Linked DNA regions of Alligator mississippiensis. The protein of the gene in region 2 purifies or fractionates together with the protein of the main gene of each other region. This does not show direct contact. Links are inferred from orthologs where the notes say so. Each region holds a gene or a part of one and is shown on either strand. Other genes may lie near its edges.

Region 1 (7,523 bases), on a different chromosome or scaffold from region 2:
CCCGCAAGTGTGCTGCATGTTCAGCTGCATGTACAACCCAGCACCTCTCCTATGCCAGCCAGGTGGACCTGCAGCCTAGGTCCTGCCCTCTGGTGCCCCCAGGCTCTGTCCATTACAGCTCCAGGTCTGGAGTTCAAAGGTATAACTCAGGGCTGAAACTGGCATGACAGTTCTAGATCCCAGCAATGACCTGAAACTACACATAGGAAGTCCAGGTGCTACACTGGAAGCAAACATTTGGGGATGTGCAGAGCCAGAAGCGTGCCCCCAACAATGGCCAGAAAGGGTAAATATTATGCTAATAATATATGTTTATATTATAATACATATTATAACAGTGTTCCTCAACTGGGGTATTGTGGCACTATAGGATGCTGCAAGAACCTCCCACGGGTACTACAACACTGACAGTGACTTGGGATGAAATTGCCCCATGCACCTGTTGTCTAGGAGGCATCTCAGAGCTAAACTGAGAAGTAGCTGCAGCAGAAAGACACACTGTCTGTGTTACATAATAAAGGCAGACAGTTTCACTTGCCCCACACATCTGTTTCCAGGAGACACCATGCAGGGTCAGACTCGGAAGAGCTGCAGCAAGACCACAAGTTCCTGCCATAGCTGCTTCCCAATCTGGCTCTGCAGAGGGCATACAGCACAGTTCCACATGGCTGCAGCAGCAGTGGAGTGAATAATGATCTAATAAATTAAGACTCTATTAACAGTTATCATTACACTTATTTTAATAATTACAATATTTGTAATCCATTTGTATTTTTTTAAATTGGGTTGCCACTAAAGTTTAAAGTTTTAGAGGGCAATGAGCCTAAACAAGTCAAGCTCTATGGTGCACAAATAGATAAAAATCTCTCTCCAACGTTCTTTAAAAAGAACTATCCATAAGGAACTGCATTTGGCATCATGCTGTCCATGCACTTATCAGAAGCTTCTTAAATTTCCTCACACTTCTCTGTGTTTGCCTAGTCTAAAATAACCCATATGCAAATTCTTCTATCCCTCTGCTCATCCCCTTTCCCCAAGAAGAACTAATTATTGAGATGAGTTTCATCTATCCCCAGTTATCTTACATTTTAGTAAATATGGTAGTTCTACCTTTTCAGTTATTTTTCAAAACTTCTGGAGCAGAGATCAAAGGTTTAAAGTGGTAGGGAAAAACACACAGCATGGCTTAAAAATTAGGACTCATCTCCCTAACTAAAACATTTAAGAAAATGTCTTGCAGTTTTTATGGTCAGTGTTAAACTTTTGAAGTACGCAGAATAAACAGGCTCATTATGAACTATTTAGTTTCCCTTCTATGAACTTTGAGATGCTGTTTGATATCTGTAAATGACAATGAATTCATAAACATTTCACAGGTCTGATAAAATTAAGTGAAGGAAATGATAATTTAGACATTTTTTTTGCCTGATTCAGTTACTGAAATGCTTCCCTTGAAGCTTATGGCGAAATTGCTTTTTATAAAAACAAACAAACAAACAAAAAAACCCAAACATTGCCAGAGTCTACAAATTGAAAATTTATTTAGGTAGAATTTTAACCTGAATTGAAATTATACCCAGTGTAATTACTCCTGCTTAATTTCTCAAATTCCTTTCTTATGGAAGGAAGGGGTGCACCAATAAAGATTTTCTTGGCCGATACCCATAGCTGATTATTCATCAGGCATATCAGCCAATACTGATCCAATAACCCATTTACAGGAGCACAGCCGGGCAGCCTGGAGAGCAGCTCTGTGCAGGTAAGTTTGTGGAGGGGAAGGGCAGGGGCAGATCGAGGCCCCCACAGGGAGGGAGAGAGTGGGGCAGGGGGCGCTGCCCAACCAGGGCAGTGAATGGGACCCTGGAGCTGGGGCGGGGAGCGGGACAGAGCTGCAGGCTGTTCAATCAGGGGATCAATGTCCTAGCACTTAAAAATGGTGCTGGGGAAAGAGGGGGCGTAACAGAGGGATCCTGCGTGACCTGTTTGCTCCTTCCCAGTTTGGTGGCATTTGCCAGACATTTGAGGCTAGTGAAGAAACAGGAATCATTGGAAACAGTAAAGAAAGGCACAGCTCAGCTGCGGGAGCAAAGTGCTGAGCACATGATAGTTCAAGATGGCAATCCCCAGCACCGGTGCCAGAGCATGGCATGTGAAGGCATTTTCCCTGGCACCCCCCGCCCCGCAAGGTGGAAGGCAGAGAAGGGGCCGTGGCCCCGCTGTCACGACAAGGATCGGGCCCCTGCCACACCTTACAAGTCCCGGGCTCAGGCCTTTTTAGCACTGCCCAAAAAGCTGCCGACAATGTAGGTGAGGAGGTTTCCTTGCATGCAAGGGGCTTTCTTCCTCACGCTGATTATGGGGGAAACACCCCTCGGGGGAGGGGCTGGGGAAGGGCGGCTCCGAAGTCCGTGCAGTCGCGCAGGGAGCCGGAGGACGCGTCACAGTCCGCGCGGGGGGGGGGCGGGGAAGGGGCCGCCCGGGCGGGGGGGGTGGGGTGGGGTGGGGTGGGGTGGGGGGGCATCGCCGCGGGGAACGGCAGTGACGTCAGCGCCGCCCCACCCCCGCGCCTCCCGCCGCTTGCGGGGGGGGGGGGGGCCGCCCGGCCCCTCTCGCGGCCGACCCAAGCAACGCCCGCACCCCCTTGGCCCGGCCCGGGGCCTCGGCAGCCACAGGGCAGCAGCGGGCGCGGCCATTGTTCTCCGCGTCCGGCGGCGCCGGCCCCGCCCGCCTGCCCGGGACAGCCGGGCCCCCCGGGTCTCCCGCCGCGCCCGCTCGGCACTTTGCAAACTTTGGGAGCGGGTCCCGAGCGCCCCGGCCCCGGCCCGGCCCGGCCCAGCGGAGGGGACCTGCCGAGGAGGGGGCGCACGGGGCGGGGGCGGCAGCAGGAAAAGTTTCTAAGAGGCGGAACCGGGCCGGGCCGGGAGTTACCTGCGGTCGGTGCGGTGCGCGGTCCGCGCTGTCCGTCCGTGCGTCTGTCCCGGCGCCGCTTTGTCCGCCCGCCGCGCCCGTCCCAAGCCAGAGGGGAGGAAGCGGGCTCTTCCGGGCACCTCCCCCCGCGGCCCGGCCGGCTGTTCCCAGCACCGCCCCGCCGGCCCCTGGCTCTTCCCCGCACCGCCCCCCGCACAGGTGAGGGCGGGGCGGGGCGGGTCCCGTCCCGCAGGTCCCGGCGGCGGCGGGCTCGGACTCCAGCTCGCGCCCCGACGCTTCTCGGCAGGCGGGACTGGACGGGACTGGACTGGACGGGACCGGCCGGCGCGGGGCTCCTCTGCTCCTGCGAAGCGGTGGCTCTGGGCAGACGGCGCTGACAACAGCGAGCCGGCTACCCGGGACTCGAGTCCTGCAGTAACCGGGCCCGTGTCAGTGGCACCACAGAGTGAACCGCAACCTTACCACCCCAGCTCAGTTGTCCTGTTCACCTTGTGGCTGGTTCCCGTTGGGCCCTAAACCGCCCATGTGGCCCAGCTCAATGGCCCTCCTCAGCAGGCCTGCTTACCTGGCGGGGGAAACACCTGGGTCAGGTCGGTGAAGGCAGTTTCCCCCAAGCGCTCGGGGGGATAACTTGTTGTGGTGTGGTTTAGTACCCTCCGAGGTGCTGGGGCTTAAAGACCAGTTTATGGAAATGGGAGGCTCCTCCCTAGCTTGCTCCTGCAGATGCATGGCTGAGGGCAGGCAAAATTTGGGGACATCCTAACCCCGTGCCTCCAGGCTTGGGCCTGCACATAGGATGCCTGCCAAACAACTCTGGAAATATCTGAAGCCCCAGATGGGGGTGGAGGATGTTTGCTAGTCGCAGGGCCACTTATGGTTCTGGACCAACTCATGGATTTGGACTTGATTTGGCTGGAACACAACAAATTTCTTAAAAAAAAAAAAAAAAAAGCCTTGGAAGCCCTCAACTCCTGTGCGCTCAGGAGGCCGGGAGTGCTGCTCAGCTGCCTGCCACGCCCAGCTCAGACACATCGCAGCTAAGGGCAACGTGTCCCTGAGGCAGGGAACCAGGGCAGATCAGCTGCCACTCCCAGCCGCAGGGTGCACAGGAGCCCCGGACTCCAGCGCGCTCCAGGGGCTGGGAGCAGGGATGAGCTGACTGGCCTCTTACTTGCCAGGATCATGATCCCATGCCACCCTTGAACCAGCAATATGGCGCAATGGGGATCTGATCCCACAATCATGGCCCCTGCCACATACATACAGCATGGCCAGAAAGAAGCACAGTTATTGGGATCGTGCATCAGCTCCCATGACACCTTTAATTGAATGTTTGCTAGGGGCTTTAGTTAATCTTTTGACAACCCTGGACCGACACTTGAAAGGTTTATGAAGTCTGATATGAGGCTGGTCTGTGCATTTTACATTGTGTAACAAAAGTTGTGTCTTTCTGTTCTAGTGCAGGTTTCACAGAAAAGCAGAGCTAGAAAGGACCTCACAAGGTCATCCTGGACCAAAAGGAATCTCATGACGTTCAAGAAGGACAAGTACAAAGTCCTGCACTTAGGACAGAACAAACCCATGCCCTGGTACAGGCTGGGGGCTCACTGGCTGGGCAGCAGCTCTGCAGAGAAGGACCTGGGGGTTACAGTGGACAGTAAGCTGAAGATGAGCCAACAGTGTGCCCTTGTTGCCAAGAAGATTAATGGCATCCTAGGCTGCATTGGTAGGTGTGTTGTCTGTAGGCATAGGCAATGCATAGCGGGGCACAGGGAGCTACATGCCCCCCTGAGATTGGCCACTGCCAAAGCCTCCACTGGCTTCTGCAGATGGTCACTGCCCTCCACTGCCGATGCAGCAGCTATGGGTGGTCGCTGCTTGCCACCCTGCCCCCGACACTGCCAGCGGCAGCTGCAGGTGGTCCCTGCTCACCACCATGGAGGCCCCCCCCCCAGTTATGGGAGGCACCAGTCATTCATGCCAGTAGCTCAGGGGAAGCAATTATTCCCCTCTATTCAGTACTGTGTCCAGTTTGGCCCCCACCCCTCCAGAAAGGATATGGACAAATTAGAGAGTCCAGAGGACAACAAAAATGATTCGGGGGCAGGGGGACATGATTTATGAGGAAAGGCTGAGGGAACTGGGCTTATTTAGTCTGAAGAAGAAAAGATTGAGGGGGTAGAATTTAATAGCAGCCTTCAACTACCTGAAGGGGGTTTCCAAAGAGGATGGAGCTAGACTATTTTCAGTGGTGGCAGATAACAGAACAAGAAGCAACAGTCTCAAGTTGCAACAAGGGAAGTTTAGGTTAGATATGAGAAAAAACCTCTCAGTAGGAGGGTTGCCCAGGTTACCCAGAGAGGTTGCAAAACCTCCATCCTCAGAGGTTTGTAAGACTTGGATAGACAAGGCCTTGGCTGGGATGATAATGGGGGCTGGTCCTGCTTTGAGCAGGGAGATGGACTACATGACCTCCTGAGGTCCTTTTCAGCCCTAGTTTTCTATGATCTAGTCCAGCTCCCTTCTAGAGACAGGATCATCCCTTACTAAACCTTCCCAGCCAAGTGTCTGTCAAAACTGCTTTTGAGCATTTCCAAGAATGGCATTTTCAAGGATGGGGATTCCATAACTTCTCTAAGTAGACCCTTCCAATGCTTGACCACCCTTATAATAATAAAGTTCCTCCTTGTAGCAAGTCTGGCTGCCTCTTTCCCACTCCAGCACCTTGGGGTGCCCCCACCCTTTTTTCCTTGCTAGCCATGCCTTGATAGAATTCTTATGGAGTTTAGGGAGGCTGCCCCAGGGTCCCAGAGCCAGCCCTCAGTTCACTTTAGTTTTGCCTTTGGGCACTCAGTTGTGGCCCTCATGGCCCTGTTAGTGCCTCAGGGCACCAGTTGCCTTATGGGTGGTATACATGGCCTCCATCCACACCTATGCTTCACAGGTAGTATTTGGTATTACTTTGGAGGGGCCCCCTGGTCCCAATGCAGCACTTGGCCCTATCAGGCCTCAAGCCTCTGTTGGGGCTTCAATCTTACCAGCTTCAGCCCCTTTTCTTCTGGCTGTGCTCCTTTAGTCTAGGTCCGCTGCCTCAGACTTCAGCTCAGCTCCTGGCTCCAGTCTCGCTCTTCTCAGGCTCCAGACATCTGGCTGCAGTCTCACCCTGCTCATCCCCCCTGGGGTCCATGACCCTTGTGGGGTTCTATACAGGGTGCCTCTCAGGTGCCCCTGTGGCCTCCATACCACCCCAAAAGCTATGATCTAGTCCTCCACTATCAAACTTAAAATGTAACACAAATATAAAGCAAATCACTTCCAAATTAAAGTTCCGCCTTACTCTGGGCAAGTGCCACACTACAAACCATGCTTCTTCCATTAGTTTTTTCCTTCTAGCTTTACTAGGCGTCTTGGGTGCTTGCTAACTTGTTTTCCCAGAACTCCTTTCCTAGCAGCCTACAGGGTTAGACTTTCAGCTTCAGCTCAAGCATTGATCTTATGTGCTCCAAAGCCCCACCCCTTCCTGTCAGGTGGCTTTCCAGCCACACACAGGGATTTCTGCTTTGGCTTGATGGCCTTCTGCCCTTCTCTCTTATAGCTTAGCTCAACTGCTAGCAGTCTTTACTTCTGCTCTATCCGGGGGCTGCCCTTTGGTATGGATTGCAGTGCAGCTAACTCCCCACAGCAAGCTTAACCTGCTATGCTTTCCCTTTCAAGTAATAGGAGCCTCTGACTCCTTGTTATACTTCTAATCCCCAACCTAAATTTCCTCTGCTGCAGATTGAGGCCACTGCTCCTAGTCCTGTCCCCAGCAGCCAAAGAGAAAAACCTATCTCCATCTTCTCTGCAATTACTGTTCAAGTATTTGAAGATTGTTATCATAGGGTTACCATGTGTCTAGGTTTTCCTGCACCTGTCCTCTTTTTGGATCCTCTGATCTCTGTCCAGGCAGTTTTTAAAAATATGATCAAATGTCCAGGATTTTGATCTGCTCAGCATCAATATTTCTCTCAGCACTACCCAGCTTCCCCTAGCCAGGAGCTGGGTGGGGCTGGGCGGAGCAAGGGAAGAGCCATTGGAGGCAGAGGGCCACCGTGTGCATGTGTGCGTGCACACACACGTGGCTGGCATGCAGCCTGGCAGGGTGCTGAGAGCAGCCCTGGCAGCTGGTTGCAGGTAAGTCTATGGGGGGCGGGGGTTGAAGGGCCAGGGCTTGAGGACTGTTCAGGGGTGTGTGTCAGTGGTGTGTGGAGGAGATGAATGTGTGTGTGTGGGGGGGGGGGGGGGGGGGTTGCCTGCCAGCACTAGGGGAAGGGGTCTAGGTGCTGGTGCTGCAGCAGGGCACAGGCGGCAGGGAGAAAGCATCTGCCCTCCAGTGGGGGAAGGGAGCAGGAGAGCCCTTCAGGGGCAGCAGGGAGCTGCATGGCCAGGCTGGTGCCCTTGCTCTCAGGGGTGGGGCGACCAATAGATGCTGCAGGGCTGGGGGGAAGCAGGGGGCTGTGGGTTGGGAGTGAGGGGCACTGGCAGGGCTGGGGGGGGGGCTGTGGCTTGGAAGTGAAGGGCACCAGAGCGTGCAGAGGACTCTGGGTCGGGAGTGC
Region 2 (7,363 bases):
ATTAGCTTGAAACCAAGCTTGCACATTCCCAGATCAATGATCCTGCACTACTCTTAGATTTGGCAACATTGATTTCTCTTTTTTCCCCTTCTGCTGGGTAGCTGACTTGAGATGCACCAGCATGCTCTGCTTTTCAGCTAAGAGGTCGCAATGTTGCCAGAATGAGATACTGGTATAAGAACAGACAATAGTCCTTTCCTAATATCTAATACTCTGTCTAACATGAAGATGTGAACCGTAACGAGGAGTTGCAAACACAGGCTGGAGAGTACAAAAGTCTCCCAAGCAGCTTTCTCCCACCCTAACCAGATTAATATATTCTGTCCCTGTTTTGTTTTTAAATAATAAATCTGAGTTGGGCATGCTACTGATTTGCTGCACTTTCAGCCCCCACTACTCCCCCCCCCCATCTTCTTATAAATAGAAGAGAAATGTGTGCACCTTGTGTGTTTGGGGGGGTGGGAGTGAGGAGAGACAAAGTATGGATATACAGTTCACAAGGACAGCTGAGAGGTGCCAAGGAGCTCTGGAGAGTACCTGACTCCTTTAATAGATTAGAAAACTCTACCTAGTCAAGATTACTAAATTCCCAACCTTCTTTCTCTTCCCCCTGCTGCATTTTTTTTTCCCCACAGGAGACAATGCTTGGACCCTTAATTAGTTGTTTTCAGTTGGGCAACAATCGTTAGTTTACATTCTGAAAAAACCAACCAAATCAAAAAAGAGATATATAAAGGGTCACTTTTTATAGCTGTGAAAAAACAGTAGTATTAACACTTACATTTGAATTAGACTGAACTCTGAAATTCTTGCAAATATCTCACAACTTTGTGCTGTTTTGATTTCTTCCTCAATGGATGCTGTAATATCCATCTTCTTCCTCTTTGGCCATATTCTATTTCATGGTTTTATTATTTGTATTATAGGATAACCCACAGTGCCATAGCAAGGGGGGGCAAGTGGGGCAACCGCCCCGGGTGCTGAAGTGAAGGGGTGCCAACAGCTGCTGCCCAGCTGGGGTGGGGCACAGGATTGAGCCATGAGCAGCTTATTTAGGAGGGGGGGGGGCAGCTCCCCGGCAAGCATGCGGTGGGGGAGCGGTGAGTGGCCCCCTAGCTCTATGCGCAGGGCGAGGGTGGGCTGCTGGTGCAGGCTTTGTCCTGGGCACTAAACTTTGCCACAGTACTCATAACCCATGTAAACTTAATTAGTTACCACAGCTGTCTGGCCTACTCTAATCTCAGTGAAGACCTACTGCTAAAATCTTTGTTTAATGCTAAAGTTCCATAAGAGGGTTATATGCCTTCCTAGAAAGGGCAGGTGAAGAACTAGGGAAATCTACTTTTAGTTAGGTAAACGCAAGTCATTTCTTGTAACCAATGAAGCAACAGTAAGACTTAGTCAACAAAAGCACACTAGATACTATGTTCATGGTTTTTTATTTGTATAGGTTTTTTTTACTAAAAATGGAAAGTGGCCTTATTTCTGCATACATTTATAAACATGGGTAATATGAGTGCAAGTACTTTTGTTGAATTTAGAACTATATTATTGGTTAAAGTAGTTTTGTGAATTTGCAGGATTGGACCCAAAACGGACAGCAAGAGGTTCAATTTACATAAATGTGAAACAAGGACAGTAATAGTAGTAAGAGGGCGGTGAGGGGAAGGAGGGGTGCCTTGCAAGTGGAATGTAATGATATCGTCATCCACGAAAAGCAGTTTTCAAAATTCCTGCAGCAAAATCAATCCAAAATCAAAACGATCACTTGGCTTAAACATTTATGAATTCCAGGGATAAAAGTCAACTTGGACATGTTTTTAATGGAATCCAAAGAGGCTGACTCCTTTAGAGGCAGGAAAATCATCAAAACTCTCTCCAAACTTCAGTCACGTAATCTTAACAGGGATTTTACTGAAGCCCGTGAGTTTTCTTAGCTACAACATATTTCTATTTCCATTTACAGGTACAGGAGAACCTTTTGAACTCTTGGTCAACCAGTTTGGTCTAGGCCAGATATTGCCACTGTGTTCTAGCTCTTGCATGTTCTACATGAAAAGGGTCAGTGGTCTTTCTCCAGGTCCTATATCCATTTAACAAAAAAACAGGATGAAAAAATTCACTAGTACTTATTTCAGTTTTAACAAGACCAGTTGTGTTGTAGTAGCTCTTTTCTTGATAGAGGTGTCTACTCTAGATTATTGCTGAGGTAGATAGAGTGATTCAGGAAAACTTACTCTACTGTTACCAATTCTGTCATGAAACAAGAAGATCAACTCTTTCAGGATTGGATATACGACAATACAAGACTGGAGAGACTATTTTATGTTACTGAGTCTTGCCCTGCACTACTGCAGGTAACCATGTTCTATAATTTTATATGTATCTTTAGGTAGTACCTTTCTTATGCATAATATTAATTTTCTAAAATAGCAAGAATAAAAGGTGAGTATGAGCAGTTATAGATGGTTGGTTTGGAAAAACGTGTTTGCATTGCCCTGCGTGCCTCCTAATGGTAGTTTTACACTGGGGGGAAAAAGAGCCACAATCTGTTCTTGGTTAAAATCATGATGTAAATTTGACAGTAGCTTGTTGAAGACTAAAAGATTCAGTAGGAAGGTGTTGGGAAAGCAATTTTTATGTTAGTGTTACTATTTCTGTTAAGTAATTTAATGGAAGCAGCAGCACCATGAAAACTGTCAGCCAGAGCTTAGATCTGGTAACCTTCCAGACAAGCTTTATAGCCTCTCTCTTCCAGACCTGAGGGGGAATGGACTGGCTGAGGGGCTGAGCCTAATTAGCTGCTGGGTAATAACTTGCATTGGACATTAACACACACACACACACACACACACGGTATTTATGCATCTAGATTTCTTGGTATAGTCTGTCTTGCATTTTATAAAGCACATAAAGCTTTGGATGAATGAAAGCAGACGGTTTCAGCATAATAAAAGAATTAAACACTTAACAATCATATCTACTTACAAGGCAAATATCTCTTGGCACTTGAAGGTTTAGGTTTATCCCGGCTGCATTCTTTAAAATGCAACAACTTAACACAGGGGTTGGGGTGAAAACTGGATGAAGAGCATGTGAATTCAAGTGAAAATTAAAGGAGGCTTATCCTCCCCCCCCTGCTGCAGCAGTGCAGTTGTAGCTTAGTGCCCAGAAATTCATTACCACTGCCCCCTTCACTCATAGTTCCCCCAACTGTGCTCATAGCTGCTGGCACAAATATGGAGCGAGGGCCAGCAGCAACCTTTTCAGCTGTACAGTTTTGCAACCCATGGGGGTGGTTCTTCTTTCGTGAAGAAAAGACGCTTTAAGGCTCCCCTGGGCTTGTGGCGCGGGAGGGGGGGATAACTCCCTTTTCGCCAAACAACCGAGCACCCTTCTTGCAAAGGCGCAGCGGCAGAGCCTGGCCGAGCGGCCACAGCCCTCGGCACCAGGGGGGCGCCCTGGGGTCCCGTGCAAAGGCTGCAGGGAGCGGCCGAGGGAGGAGCGGGGAGCAGCAGCAGCCACCTGGTCGCGGCCGCCCGTGCAATCAGCGCTGCACGAAGTAGATGGCTTTCTCCCCTCCCTTCGCAGCCCCGGAGCCCCCCCCCCCCGCTCGGCATCCAGCATGCTCGCTTCTCAACCAGCAACAACAACAGCAACAACAAAAAACCCAGCCGGAGCCTGGCGCGTTTTCTTTTCTCCCCCCCTTTTGCAAATTCAAGTGTAAAAGGAGACGTTGACAAAAATCAACAATGCACCATTTTGAATCGGCAAACGCCGGAGCCTGCGTGCGGGGGGGGGGGGGGGAAGAGGATGTCCACGCGCGTCCCTTCCCGCTGTCCCGGGCTGGGCGCTGCGGGCGGGCGGACAACTTCGCTCCGCAACCTGCGTGCGGGGGGACACGGAGACCCTCCTCGCCAATCTTGCAAATGCCGCCTCATCCCCCAGCTCCTCGGCCTCCGCCATCGTGTGGAGCAGCAGCGGAGCCCCCCCGCAACGGCAATGGCGAGGCCCGGCTCCCTCCCCGCAGGTGGCTCCATGCACGATGCACCAGCGCGGGGCTCCGGTTGCAATGCCCGCGGTTGTGGCGGGGTTTGTCGCCCTGCACCCCGCCCAGCTCCCCCCGGGCTGCAGCACCATGCCAGGCGCCCGCGGGTGGGCTGCTGTGTGTCCGGGCCGGGCAGCCCCGCCATTGGCCGCGCGGCAGGAGGGAGGGGCGGGGGAGGGGCGGCGCAGCGCAGAGCCGAGCACGCACATTCACACACACACGCAGGCAGGGACTGCTCGGCATTGTTGTCCCCGCGCTCCGTGCAAGGCGGGGAGGCGGCGGAGGGAGAAAGGAGGAGGTGGAGGCGGGGGCGGAGGAGGAGGACGAGGAGGAGGCACCGGCTGCCAGCATGCAGCAGGGCTGGGGGCGCCGCGCCGGCACCTGGGCGGCTCCTTGCTGAGAGGAGCTGCCTGTCCCCGCGCATCCCGGCGCCGGCTTCGCCTTTTATCCGCGGAGAGCCTAGCCCAGCCCGATCCCGATCCGGCCGCGGGACCCGGGGGGCTTCCGCCGAGCGCAGCCCGGGACTCTCGCCGCCCTCTCGCCTCCATGTGCCGGCTCCTGCCGCCGCCGCTGCTGCTGCTGCTGCTCGCGGCCCTGCAGCAGGTAGGCACGGGGACGGGGACGGGGGCTGCGGCTCTTTGTTCCCCGGCTCGCGGCAGGGGGAGCAGGTGCACGGGCAGCTCGTGTCCCGCCGCGGCGGGCGCAGGGCAGGGCTGCGGAGTTGAGCGCTTGGTGCCCCCCTAAAGGGAATGCTGCGTGGGGCGGGGGAGGACGGGTGGGCAGCTCCCCGTGGGGGTCCCTGCTCGGGCTGGGGCAGGCGGCGAGCCTGGCCTCCCCGGGCTCCTTCAGGGCTGGTGCGGCAGCGGCAGAAGCAGAGTCACTGTCCATGGTGCAGAGCCTGGCTCCCCTCCCTGCCTGTGCCTTTCGCTGCCCACCCCTGCCTCCGACGTCCCCTCTCTCCCTCTGCCCACTCCCCAGGCAATTGTGTGTCCCCTCCCCGCCAGGGTTTGCTGGCGGCAGCGGGCAAATGAGGTGCTGAAACATTGATCCCTCACAGCTGGGGGATTTCTTTCTGGCTTAAGAGGAGCTGGGCTCGTCTGCTCCGTGCGACTGGGCACCAGTGCTGCTCCTCTGGCAAACCTGCCGCCCTCTGTGGAAACTTGTTTTCCTGGGTCACTTCAAAAGGCCAGGTTGTTTCTTGGGCTGGTGGGCAAGGGTTGTAGCAGGGGGGATTTTCTTATGCTCTTAACTTGGCCCATCCCCACCTGCCGTTTCTTTAGGCGAGTCTTTGTGTGGCACTGGAGCGGACCTGCCTCCCTTTCTGCTTCTGCACCTGCCAGCTTTAAAGCGGGGGTCTGTGTTATTCCACCATCTCTTTGCCCAGGGCTGGCTTTAAATGAAAGCCCAAACTATATATGAATGAAGGACAGGAACTAGCTTTAATGCTTTTTTGTGTAGCCATCCTTGTTAGTGGCATATTCTGATTGGGGAATCCAATTTCTCCCTTGTTTGAAGATCAGTTGAATCAGGTTAGGATGCAGTTTTGCTAGTGTCACAAAATTGGAGCTTTAGTATGAAATCAGTTTGATAAACCTGTGCCTGTATGCCACCTTTTCATTTTTAATGGTGCTGTCCTTGTCATGTGCAGTGCTAACAAAACCTTACAAGTTAGATGCATTATTAACTTTTTTTTTCCATTATTGGACTTGGTGCTCTTGGTTAAGAGGAGTTAATTTCTAAGAGAGAAGTCTGAAATGCTTAAGACTTGCATTTATTCTTAACTTGCTTATTTTGCCATTTCAAACCCTTGTCACAAAGATGACACGCATTATTTCTGCAAGTTATTGATGACTTCTTCATTGGCGGGGTAGTGAAGCAGTTGTGATTGACTTGCTCAAAAAATAATCAGAACTGAATAGGTGTTGGTCCTCTTAGAGGTTTGGTTTATGATCGGAAAAGTGGGATTTGGGATAGAGTTTAAACTTGTTTTTTCAGCCTTTGAGATTAGAAACTGGCCCTTTGTCTTTCCTGATTAATTGTTCTGTAAGCTCTGTCAGTGGGTCTGGTTGTTATGCAAAAGCCTCACAGGAGACAAAAAAAGAATGAGGATAAAAGGGAGGCGGGCACACCCTTGCTTTACTGTCAGAAACATGAATTATTATTTTTTCTGCTGAAATTGGTGATAAGCACAAGAGTAAAGTAGAAATCGAGAAATTTAAGAAATAACCAAGTGCACAGTATTCAAGCAATAAAGCGAGAGCCGTGCTGTTGACAAGAGTGAAGCTGGTGTTCAGATGTTCATGGGGAGAAATATAGCAATTTTATGCTCAGGAAACAGTAGTTTTTGATATGTTAAAGCTTATTATGACTGTGGCAATGACATGTGAACATCACGGTGATAGACATGGTAGAAATGGGGAGATAAGTAATAATGGGCTATAGTTCCTCTAAGGTCCAGGTCACTGGTTTGAATTCAGCTTTAGATGACAGAATGAAAGTTATTACTGCCTGAAGACTCTGTTGGTCTTGTTCCTAGTAAATTTATTCTTGAAAAATGGCTACAATAAGTGGCATCACTATTAGCTGCCTCAGTAAAGAACCCAGCGATTGAATTCCTTTTGAATGGCTCTACCCTGCTACGCCTACTTGTGGATTCTGTAGGTCAGTATTAACCAGGCACATGGATGAGGTGGTGTTAAGTATACCCCAGCTTTTGGGTTTTTTGTTGTGAAGGTCTTCAGGCACCAGTACTTTGGTGTTACGGTACAGATAAAAAGTGCTGCATTGAAAATAAATTGAGGATATGGTGAATGTGATTGTGTAATCAAAGAAATCAGTTTTGAGGATTCAAGGGCAGGTGTAACTTCAGTAATCACTATTCTTTTTTTATTATTATTATTTGAGCTGGTGGTAAGTGAATTAAATGGACTTGGTGGAACATAAGCTCAGAAACAGAATATGTAGGTGGACTTCCAATATTCTTAGACTGGCTGATTATTTAGTAACATATACATTTTAAACGTTATGTAGAAAACTGTTTGCCTGCTAGGAGCTCATTTAAAGATTTTATTTTCTTCTGCAGCAGTTAGTGATGCTTCTAAAACCTATAATGCAACCTATACTTGTTTAGTCTAGGTGACAGTGACATCATCAATACAACCTCAACTCTGGTTTTGTAGATAAAAAAGAAAATTTTTCTTTTTGACACATTGCTCTTAAATGGCAAGTTTGCAGAAAAAAAATAAAGGCATGTTTTTGCATAATAACTTAGGATTTTAAAAACTTTTTGTGTGTAGTTCTAGAAAACTATTATGT

Evidence for each region.
Region 1: the proteins of CDH2 (region 2) and CTNNA1 purify together in Homo sapiens (affinity purification with mass spectrometry; 4 studies listed by BioGRID and IntAct, with this or other methods). This does not show direct contact. The link is inferred for Alligator mississippiensis from reciprocal best matches to the Homo sapiens genes CDH2 and CTNNA1.

What each region holds. Positions count from the first base shown.
Region 1 is NC_081832.1:45,891,957-45,899,479, forward strand, and holds the start of CTNNA1 (catenin alpha-1), read right to left. Parts: upstream 3,014-7,523; 5' UTR 2,929-3,013; intron 1-2,928. UniProt on the Homo sapiens protein: Associates with the cytoplasmic domain of a variety of cadherins. The association of catenins to cadherins produces a complex which is linked to the actin filament network, and which seems to be of primary importance for cadherins cell-adhesion properties.
Region 2 is NC_081826.1:83,733,193-83,740,555, forward strand, and holds the start of CDH2 (cadherin-2), read left to right. Parts: upstream 1-4,361; 5' UTR 4,362-4,594; coding exon 4,595-4,651; intron 4,652-7,363. UniProt on the Homo sapiens protein: Calcium-dependent cell adhesion protein; preferentially mediates homotypic cell-cell adhesion by dimerization with a CDH2 chain from another cell. Cadherins may thus contribute to the sorting of heterogeneous cell types.